Macaca fascicularis: one gene and its partner. The protein of the gene in region 2 purifies or fractionates together with the protein of the main gene of each other region. This does not show direct contact. Links are inferred from orthologs where the notes say so. Each region holds a gene or a part of one and is shown on either strand. Other genes may lie near its edges.

Region 1 (3,672 bases), on a different chromosome or scaffold from region 2:
GTGGGCAGGATGCCCCCCACCAGGTGGCTCACCATGGCCAGGATCCCGTTGTACACGAGCAGGTCATCCACCAGGAGCTGCAGGGACATAAGGTGGAGCTCATGGGTGCCCCTCCTCCCTCCCACGTTGACCTTGGGCAAAGCGCATTACTGCTCTGAGCCTTTCTCCTTGGGAAGACGGGGCTGCCAGGAACAAGTGCCTGCTATGTGCTGTGCCTGCCTTGTGATTTCAGATCTTCACAGCCGTTGGGAAAGACAGGAGCCATCAGCCCACATTGCAGATGAGGAAATTGAGGCCTGAGGGGCTTTAATACCATTAGCACAAGCAGCAGAGCTGGAAGGAAACAGGTCTCTGGTCTCCAGGGTCCCTGTTCTCCCCATCCCAGGGTCACTGCCCCAAACCAGTGGGATTCTAGAGAAAAAGATGAAAGAGAACCCACTTTCTATTTGTTCAGGGTGACACTGAAATCACTGCCAGGAGGTTCTGAATTCATGGTTGGGTGGTAAATTTGCCTGCATCTGAGGACCAGGCATTTGTGTTGAGGGTTGCAACAGAGAGAAGTAAATCAAACTGCGACAAATGATAATTGCCGGCGGCCTAATTACCAACGAACATAATTATCTCAAAAAACTCAGCTAATAAGTACTTACGCCAAACTCCTTCACCCCTCGATGGGGTGTTTTCGCATAATTCCACAGTTTGATCATTGACACGGTGGTAGGCAGATCGAAAATCACATAAACCCGGTTCACCTGTCAGAGAGCAGAACTAATTAAAACAGGCATGTTTGGAAACAGAGGCACTTGGCTGGGCTGGGGGCGCCAGGCGTGGGCTGGGGGTGAGCAGTGGTGCCCAAGGCAGCGCCTGCCACGTGGGCCAGCCTGGAGTTCCGCCCCCTTTCATCTCCTCGAAGCCCATCTTGAGTCAGGTCACGTGTGGCTGCGTTTGCAACAAACCGCTGAGCTGGCTCTTGGAGGGCCTGTGTGCTTGGGCCTGGCGGGGCCCTCATTTAAATGCCAGTGGAGAATTGGGAACATCCTTGGCCATCCCCTATGTCCCCTCAGGTCAGGCCCAGAAATAGTGTAGAGCCCCGTGAGCTAAAGGGACAGTCTCCAGCTCGGGTTGAGCACCAGCCATGGTGATCAGCTTCTGACCCTGTCTGTCCTTTCCCCAAACCATCGCTGAGAAGCAATGCCAAGGTGCTGCTGGGCAATGTCCAGTGCGTGTCTGTGAACCTCTGCTGGGGGAGTAAGGAGGGCTGTCTAGATTGGGGCAGAATCCAGTGGGGAAAGTGGGACGGGGCAGCCTCGAACAGCTCTCCCTCTCCCCACCCCCAACCAAGGCTCTCAGATATTAGCGGGGGGACCCTCCCTTGCAAGATAGAATCAAGAAATAAGCATTCCACACTGGCTACAGGCTGCAGGCTCAGTCCCGCCCCGGGCCTCGGTCCCCAGCCTGTGACCATCCTCAGAATGTCCCAAGAGGGAGTGGGGCTGCTCGGGGAGGGCCAGCCTCCTGGCTGGACCATGGAAACAAATAAAGGTCAGGGCGAGGGTCCTCAAAGTCAGTTGCCTGTGAGGCTCAAGCAGATACAGATGTTGGAGTCCAGCCTCGAGAGCAACAGCTGAAGTTGCCTCACCCCAAAAGGCCTTCCAGTGCTAGACAATGGAAAATACACACTGGCCGCCAGTGGGTGGCCCGGGTCTCAGGGAGGACAGAGCTGTGTTGCCCCCTCTCCAATGGGGCAGGGGAAGCTGATGGACGCTCAATAGGGGGGGTCTAATTTTAGGGTGGCCTTTGGAAAACTTCCATCATAGAATTGCTGACGCTGTACCTTCCTGCATTTTGAGAGAAAAAGGTGCCCCCGATCCCCCATTCAGTCCCATGGCATGGACAAGGGACACATCCTTGGTCATATGGCTGTCAAGAACCCGCTGTGCATCCCTACCAGGCATCTGGCCCCGGGCTGAGAGGCTGGAGGGGGGCTGACCACCCCGTCCATGCCCTGTGGCTTCTCCCCTTCCTCTCCACCACAACCAACCACATCAGCTCACCATGAGGCCTCAGAGCTAAAAGCTAAGCAGGACTCAGTGCAAGGTTTGAGATCTGGGAAACTGAGTCAGTTGGCCGGAAAAGCTGACCAGGCCAATTTGGGGCCAGAAGGAGGGCAGGGCGGCCGTGTTGGGGTCATCTACCCGGTGATGTAGGAAGAGGCAGAAACTGTGAGCGTGCAGAGAGCTGGGTGGGGAGGAAGAGGGCACAGCGGCTGCAAAGCCAGGCAGAGCAGAGAACCAGAGAGGGCTGCCTGCAGGGACCAAGGAAGACCAAGCCCTCAGGCAGCTGTGCTGGGGTTCCTGGCTTCAGATTCCCATGGGGCCCCTTTCACCCCTGGTGTCCCCTTATAAAAGAGACAGAATTGCTGGCCTGGAAGAGCTGGCCCCATCAGGCAAGGTAGCAAAGACCTAAACCTTTCTGACAGCTCCCAAGCATCTTGGCTTGAGATTAACTTGACCTGGAAGAAAGATGCGTCACTGAGACCAGGGAAAGAAAGTCCCCCTGGCCGCCTGAGGGCCAGGAGTTGCGGTGGCCGCTGCTGGGAACCCACCAGGCCTGGCAGGATGGGAGCCAGCCACATGTGCCGGCCATCACTGGTGTCGTTCACTTGGTCGATGAGCTTGTCCGGGGTGCGGACGTCCCCACCTACGCCCTCCAGGGAGTTCACGCTGTCAGGGAAGGCCGCAATATCTGAGGAGGCGTCTAAGTTGCCATAACCCAAATCTGTGTGTTCGGGGGCTGCCAGCTGCCCTCAGGCTGACAGCGTGGCTCGAGGGACTCTGGGGCTGGCAGGGCTGATGCTCTGGGCAGCCGCAGCAGTGACAGCTGAACTGGACATGTGCTGGGGAAATGGGGAGTGCCAGGCCCAAGGGGAGCAGGTGTGTGTGGAGAGGTGGACAGTTTCAAGTAGAGAGAGAAGGAAACCACCTAGAAGGCTGAAAAAGAGGCCTTGCAGGGAGCGGCTGGAGCTGGGGACGTAAAACGCTGCTGCTGCTTGGGAGGGTGGAGGGCAAGCTCTGCGGAGGTTTTCTTTTGGAAGGGAATGGGGTGGTGGCTGGATTCTGCCCTGGCATGTAAGGATCATGCCGAGCCTCTCTTCCTGGCCAGTGTGGAAGGACCCGGGGCAGCTGGACCCAGCTAATATGATCTGCAGAACCCAGCTTCTAGCTCTGCCTCTGCCATTATGACCTATGAGAGCTTGGGCAAGTCACATGTCAACCCTGGACCTGTGTTCCCATCTGTAAAATGGCTATAAAAACCTCCAGCTCCCAGAATGGATGTGAGGATCTCAGAGTGCACCAGATGAGAGCCCTTTGGTAAAATCAATGAAACTTTATAGCTTCGAGAAGTCACTAATAATGATTAAAAAAAATCAACAATGATTCATCCCAGCTGAGGAGGGTGGTGGCACCCGGGGAAGGCAGAAAGGGATCCGACTGGAAGCCAGGGACCCCAAACAGATGCAAGGCAGGCTTTAGGGTTCGACCTGCCCTGGTATTTCCCTAACTGTGGTGGGCCAGCGATCACAGATTCAAGATCCGAGGGGGCCAGGCAGGTTACATAAAAGAGGCAGGATAGCTTAGTGCTTGGCCAAGAGCCAGTGTCTGGACACAGACT
Region 2 (3,817 bases):
CCTCTGGGGTCCCAAGGAGTCCCCTTTATCTTTGGAACAATTCTGAATATTAGAAAGTTCTTCCTTATACTGGGTAAAATCTGGTTTTCTAGCTTTTAATGAAGGCTAATCACTTTTCTAGAAAGGCAGCCTTTTAGATATTTGAAAATAGCCCTTATATTATCTGCCCTTTTCTCTAGAGAAACATCTCCATTTCCCTTAAGGGCTCTGCATATAACGCCATTCACCAATGACTGATAACTCTCAGTTCCTATTATGAATATGCCTTTAAGTCCCCTCTCATCCTGCTTCCCACTTAGAATGAGGCTGCCAGAACTGGAGGCAGACAGCAGGCAGGGAATATAGAGCAGAACGAATCACCTCCAACACTCTAAACCATGTGTGCACTCGTGCCACCAATGATTACAGTCCTCCCCACAACCGCTTAGAAGATGCCTCAATTGCTGACTCATACTGTGAGGGAAGGAAAGGAAGTTACTATTTATTGAGTAGCTACTAAGTGCCATGCATATGCTAGGGACCCTGTGTGTATTCTCTAAGTTAAAGAGAATAACCTAGCCCCCCACCCCGCCACACATACACACATTTTTATATAGGTAAGTTCCAATACTTAATCCAGGGATTAAGTATTGTGTCAACTAAAATTTCTAAGTATACCAATTTTTTCATAAATGCTTCTCCTAAATTGCATATTCTGTACCTCTGACTTGTGTATTTCATCTCTAGGATTCAAAAAGTTGCAAGACCTTTTACATCTCCAATTTCTAATTATTTTTGAATCTTTATTTTTTCTTCTCGGTTTACCCATTCTGCCCAGCTTCTTGCCAGCTATGTATTTGTTTAGTTATCTGTTTTCCTCCTGAATCTTCATGATGAATAGGATGACCGTGAGATCTTGGGCAGGCCACTACAACCTTCTCCTAGACTGACATTGATCCATTCATCAGTACTCTTGGTCAAGTTCTTCAACTATGTGCTGATCGCCTTTGCTGCCTTCACCCAATGGGCTAAAGTTCACATACACTACATTGAATGAATTCATTGTTTGCCGTTCATGAAAAAGTGTGGTCTATATGAGCTATCACTGTTTTTCCTTAGTGCTCACAAACATCCCCTTTAATAATTGATTTTAGAACCTTTGCCCTCATCCTCTACCAAACTTACTGAGGTGGAGTTTGCAAAAATAAATCTTCTACTTTATTAAGAGTATTATATTTGCCACTTTCCAGTCTTCTCAGACACACAGGATTCTTGGATATCACTGACATTGTTCAGCAGCGTTCAGCATAGGCACCCTAAAATACAATTCAACAGAAGGGAAGCTCAAACTCAGCTCAGGGTAACCTTTTATTAACCCTACTCATCTGGAGCTTAACACTTTTTTATTCTCTTTATTCTGGAGATTGTTCTGCCTGGCAGAGAAAATAATAGTGTAGAAGCTGGCAAATACTGCTTTTTGTTATCATCCATCACTATCACTGTGACACCATCAGCTTCAAGCAATAGCATGTCCGTTCTTTAAGCATCTCCCTGCACCCAACATAGCTGTATTTTCTGAAAATTTTCCATGCTCTATTCCCTAGTTTTGAGTTGCCTTTTGGATTTTTCTGTTTATGTGCCCTGAAACCACTCTGTAAATTTGTGTAAAACCAATTCATTGTGTGCTCCAAGCCAGGACTTCTTTCCTGTTCCTTATTTCTGTTAACAATGCCTCCATTCTGTGGCAGTCAGACTCATACTTCCCTCTCTGTTTCCGTTAGGATTACATTCAGGGACTTATGACAAAAACTCGACCACTGTGGCTTAAACAATAGGGGTTGTTTTTCTCACATAACAAGAAATTGGGTGGTGGAGCTCATGTAGCTTGCAGAGGAGGCAGGCTGCTGCTGGCTTCCCGCTCCACCACCCTGAGCAGGTGGCTGTCATGCCTGTGGCCACAGGATGACTGGTGTGTCTTTGGATGTCATGTATATTCAAGGAGGGGGAAAAGTAAAAGATGCTGGCACATGCCAGCCTTAGTGTCCTTCTCATTAAGGCTGTCCCCAATTAAGGAGGACACTAAGGCTTTGAGAAGTTAAGTCCCTTGCCCAAAGAGACATAGCCAAGTCTCGGGTTTCCAGATCCTTCGTGTCAATGAAGAGTCAACTCAGATCCAAAATATTCAAGTCTCCCACCGACCTAGTTCACAGAGATCTTTCCTCTGAACACCTGTCATATTTTTGGCATGTACCGCCCATTTTTGTTCATGCTTTTAAATGTGTATATATGTTATGCCCTTAAGTGTATGGAACGCTCCTTGAGAATGGGGACTGTTAGTGTCTTACGTAGTAGCTTGTGCATGAAAGGCATTCAGTACATGATTAAAGATTATGACTGATTTTCCACCACAGAAGCCAAATGGCACACTGAGTCATAAAAGTGGTAGGAGGCGTTGGGGTCAGACTGTCTTCAAGTCTGGAGACAGCTGGGAAGAGTTGGAGGACTATGATTTCGGAGCCTCCCATTCCAAGAAGCCAAGCATGGGTGTTTTTAAAGACAAAAGGAAAAAAGATTCTCCATTTCGGTAAGATTTCAAATTCCTCAGAAAACTATTTTTGCCATGCATTCACTTTATTTTACTCATTAAATATAAATGCATGTAGACCTTAAAAGAAGAAAAGTTTGCTTAATAGGCCGGGCGCAGTGGCTCAGGCCTGTAATCCCAACACTTTGGGAGGCGGAGGCGGGTTGACCACTTGAGGCCAGGAGTTTGAAACTAGCCTGGCCAACATGGTGAAACCCCGTCTCTACTAAAAATACAAAAATTAGCCGGGCATGGTGACGTGCACCTGTAATCCCAGCTACTCGGGAAGCTGAGACATGAGAATTTCTTGAACCTGGGAGGCGGATGTTGCAGTGAGCCAAGATCGCGCCATTGCGATCCAGCCTGGGTAACAAAGTGAGACTCCATTTCAAAAAAGAAAAAAAGTTTGCTTAATATGTTGGTTCCTTCCACAAAATGCAAATCTTTCCACATACCTCTGAAAAGGTAAGAATCTTCTCACAGTAACAATTCTCAGTATTAACAGATGAGTGGGCGTGGGGGGTGTGTAGAGAGAGTGTGTCAGTCCGTTTTTGCATTGCTATAAAGAATGTGTTGGCCCAGGGTTCTGCAGGTTGTACAGGAAGCATAGTGCCAGCATCTGCTTCTGGCGAGGGCTTCTGGAAACTTAGAATCATGGCGGAAGGTGGAAGAGGATCCAGCCTGTCACAGGGCAAGAGAGGGAGCAAGAGAGAGAGGGAGGAGGTCGCAGACTCTTTTAAACGATCAAGTCTCGCGGGAACTCAGAGTGAGAACTCACTCATTACCGCAAGGATGGTACCAAGCCATTCATGAGGGATCTGCTCCCATGATCCAGACACCTCCCACCAGGCCCCACCTCCAAAACTGGGGATTACATTTCAACATGAGATTTAGAGAGGACAGATGTCCAAAACATATCAGAGGGGATCTTGTTCCATTTTCACGATGCTCTTGTGAATGACCATCATTATTCCCCTTTGAAATTGACATGCCTCGTTGCAGAAAGCAGAGCACCACATGCCAAGTTAACGGCTGCTTCTGATGGTGTGAAGATTTCATTATCTGCTTGCTTGCTGTTCTAAACTTTTTTCAATCATTTCCTGAGTCTTTTCTGGAAGTTTAATATCTCTAGCAGTTCCTTTTCTTTTTATAAGTGAGGTCATCCTCAGTGTATTACTCAACTTTGAAGTTAGGATGGGTTAAGTTTTGGTGAATATTTTGGAAAGATACTTTCTTTCTTTTTTTTTTTTTTTC

Evidence for each region.
Region 1: the proteins of MAK (region 2) and KATNIP purify together in Homo sapiens (affinity purification with mass spectrometry; 3 studies listed by BioGRID and IntAct, with this or other methods). This does not show direct contact. The link is inferred for Macaca fascicularis from reciprocal best matches to the Homo sapiens genes MAK and KATNIP.

Annotation. Positions count from the first base shown.
Region 1 is NC_088394.1:26,855,575-26,859,246, reverse strand, and holds part of KATNIP (katanin-interacting protein), read right to left. Parts: intron 2,746-3,672; coding exon 2,606-2,745; intron 753-2,605; coding exon 651-752; intron 78-650; coding exon 1-77. UniProt on the Homo sapiens protein: May influence the stability of microtubules (MT), possibly through interaction with the MT-severing katanin complex.
Region 2 is NC_088378.1:162,157,666-162,161,482, forward strand, and holds part of MAK (serine/threonine-protein kinase MAK), read left to right. Parts: intron 1-2,390; coding exon 2,391-2,563; intron 2,564-3,817. UniProt on the Homo sapiens protein: Essential for the regulation of ciliary length and required for the long-term survival of photoreceptors. Phosphorylates FZR1 in a cell cycle-dependent manner. Plays a role in the transcriptional coactivation of AR.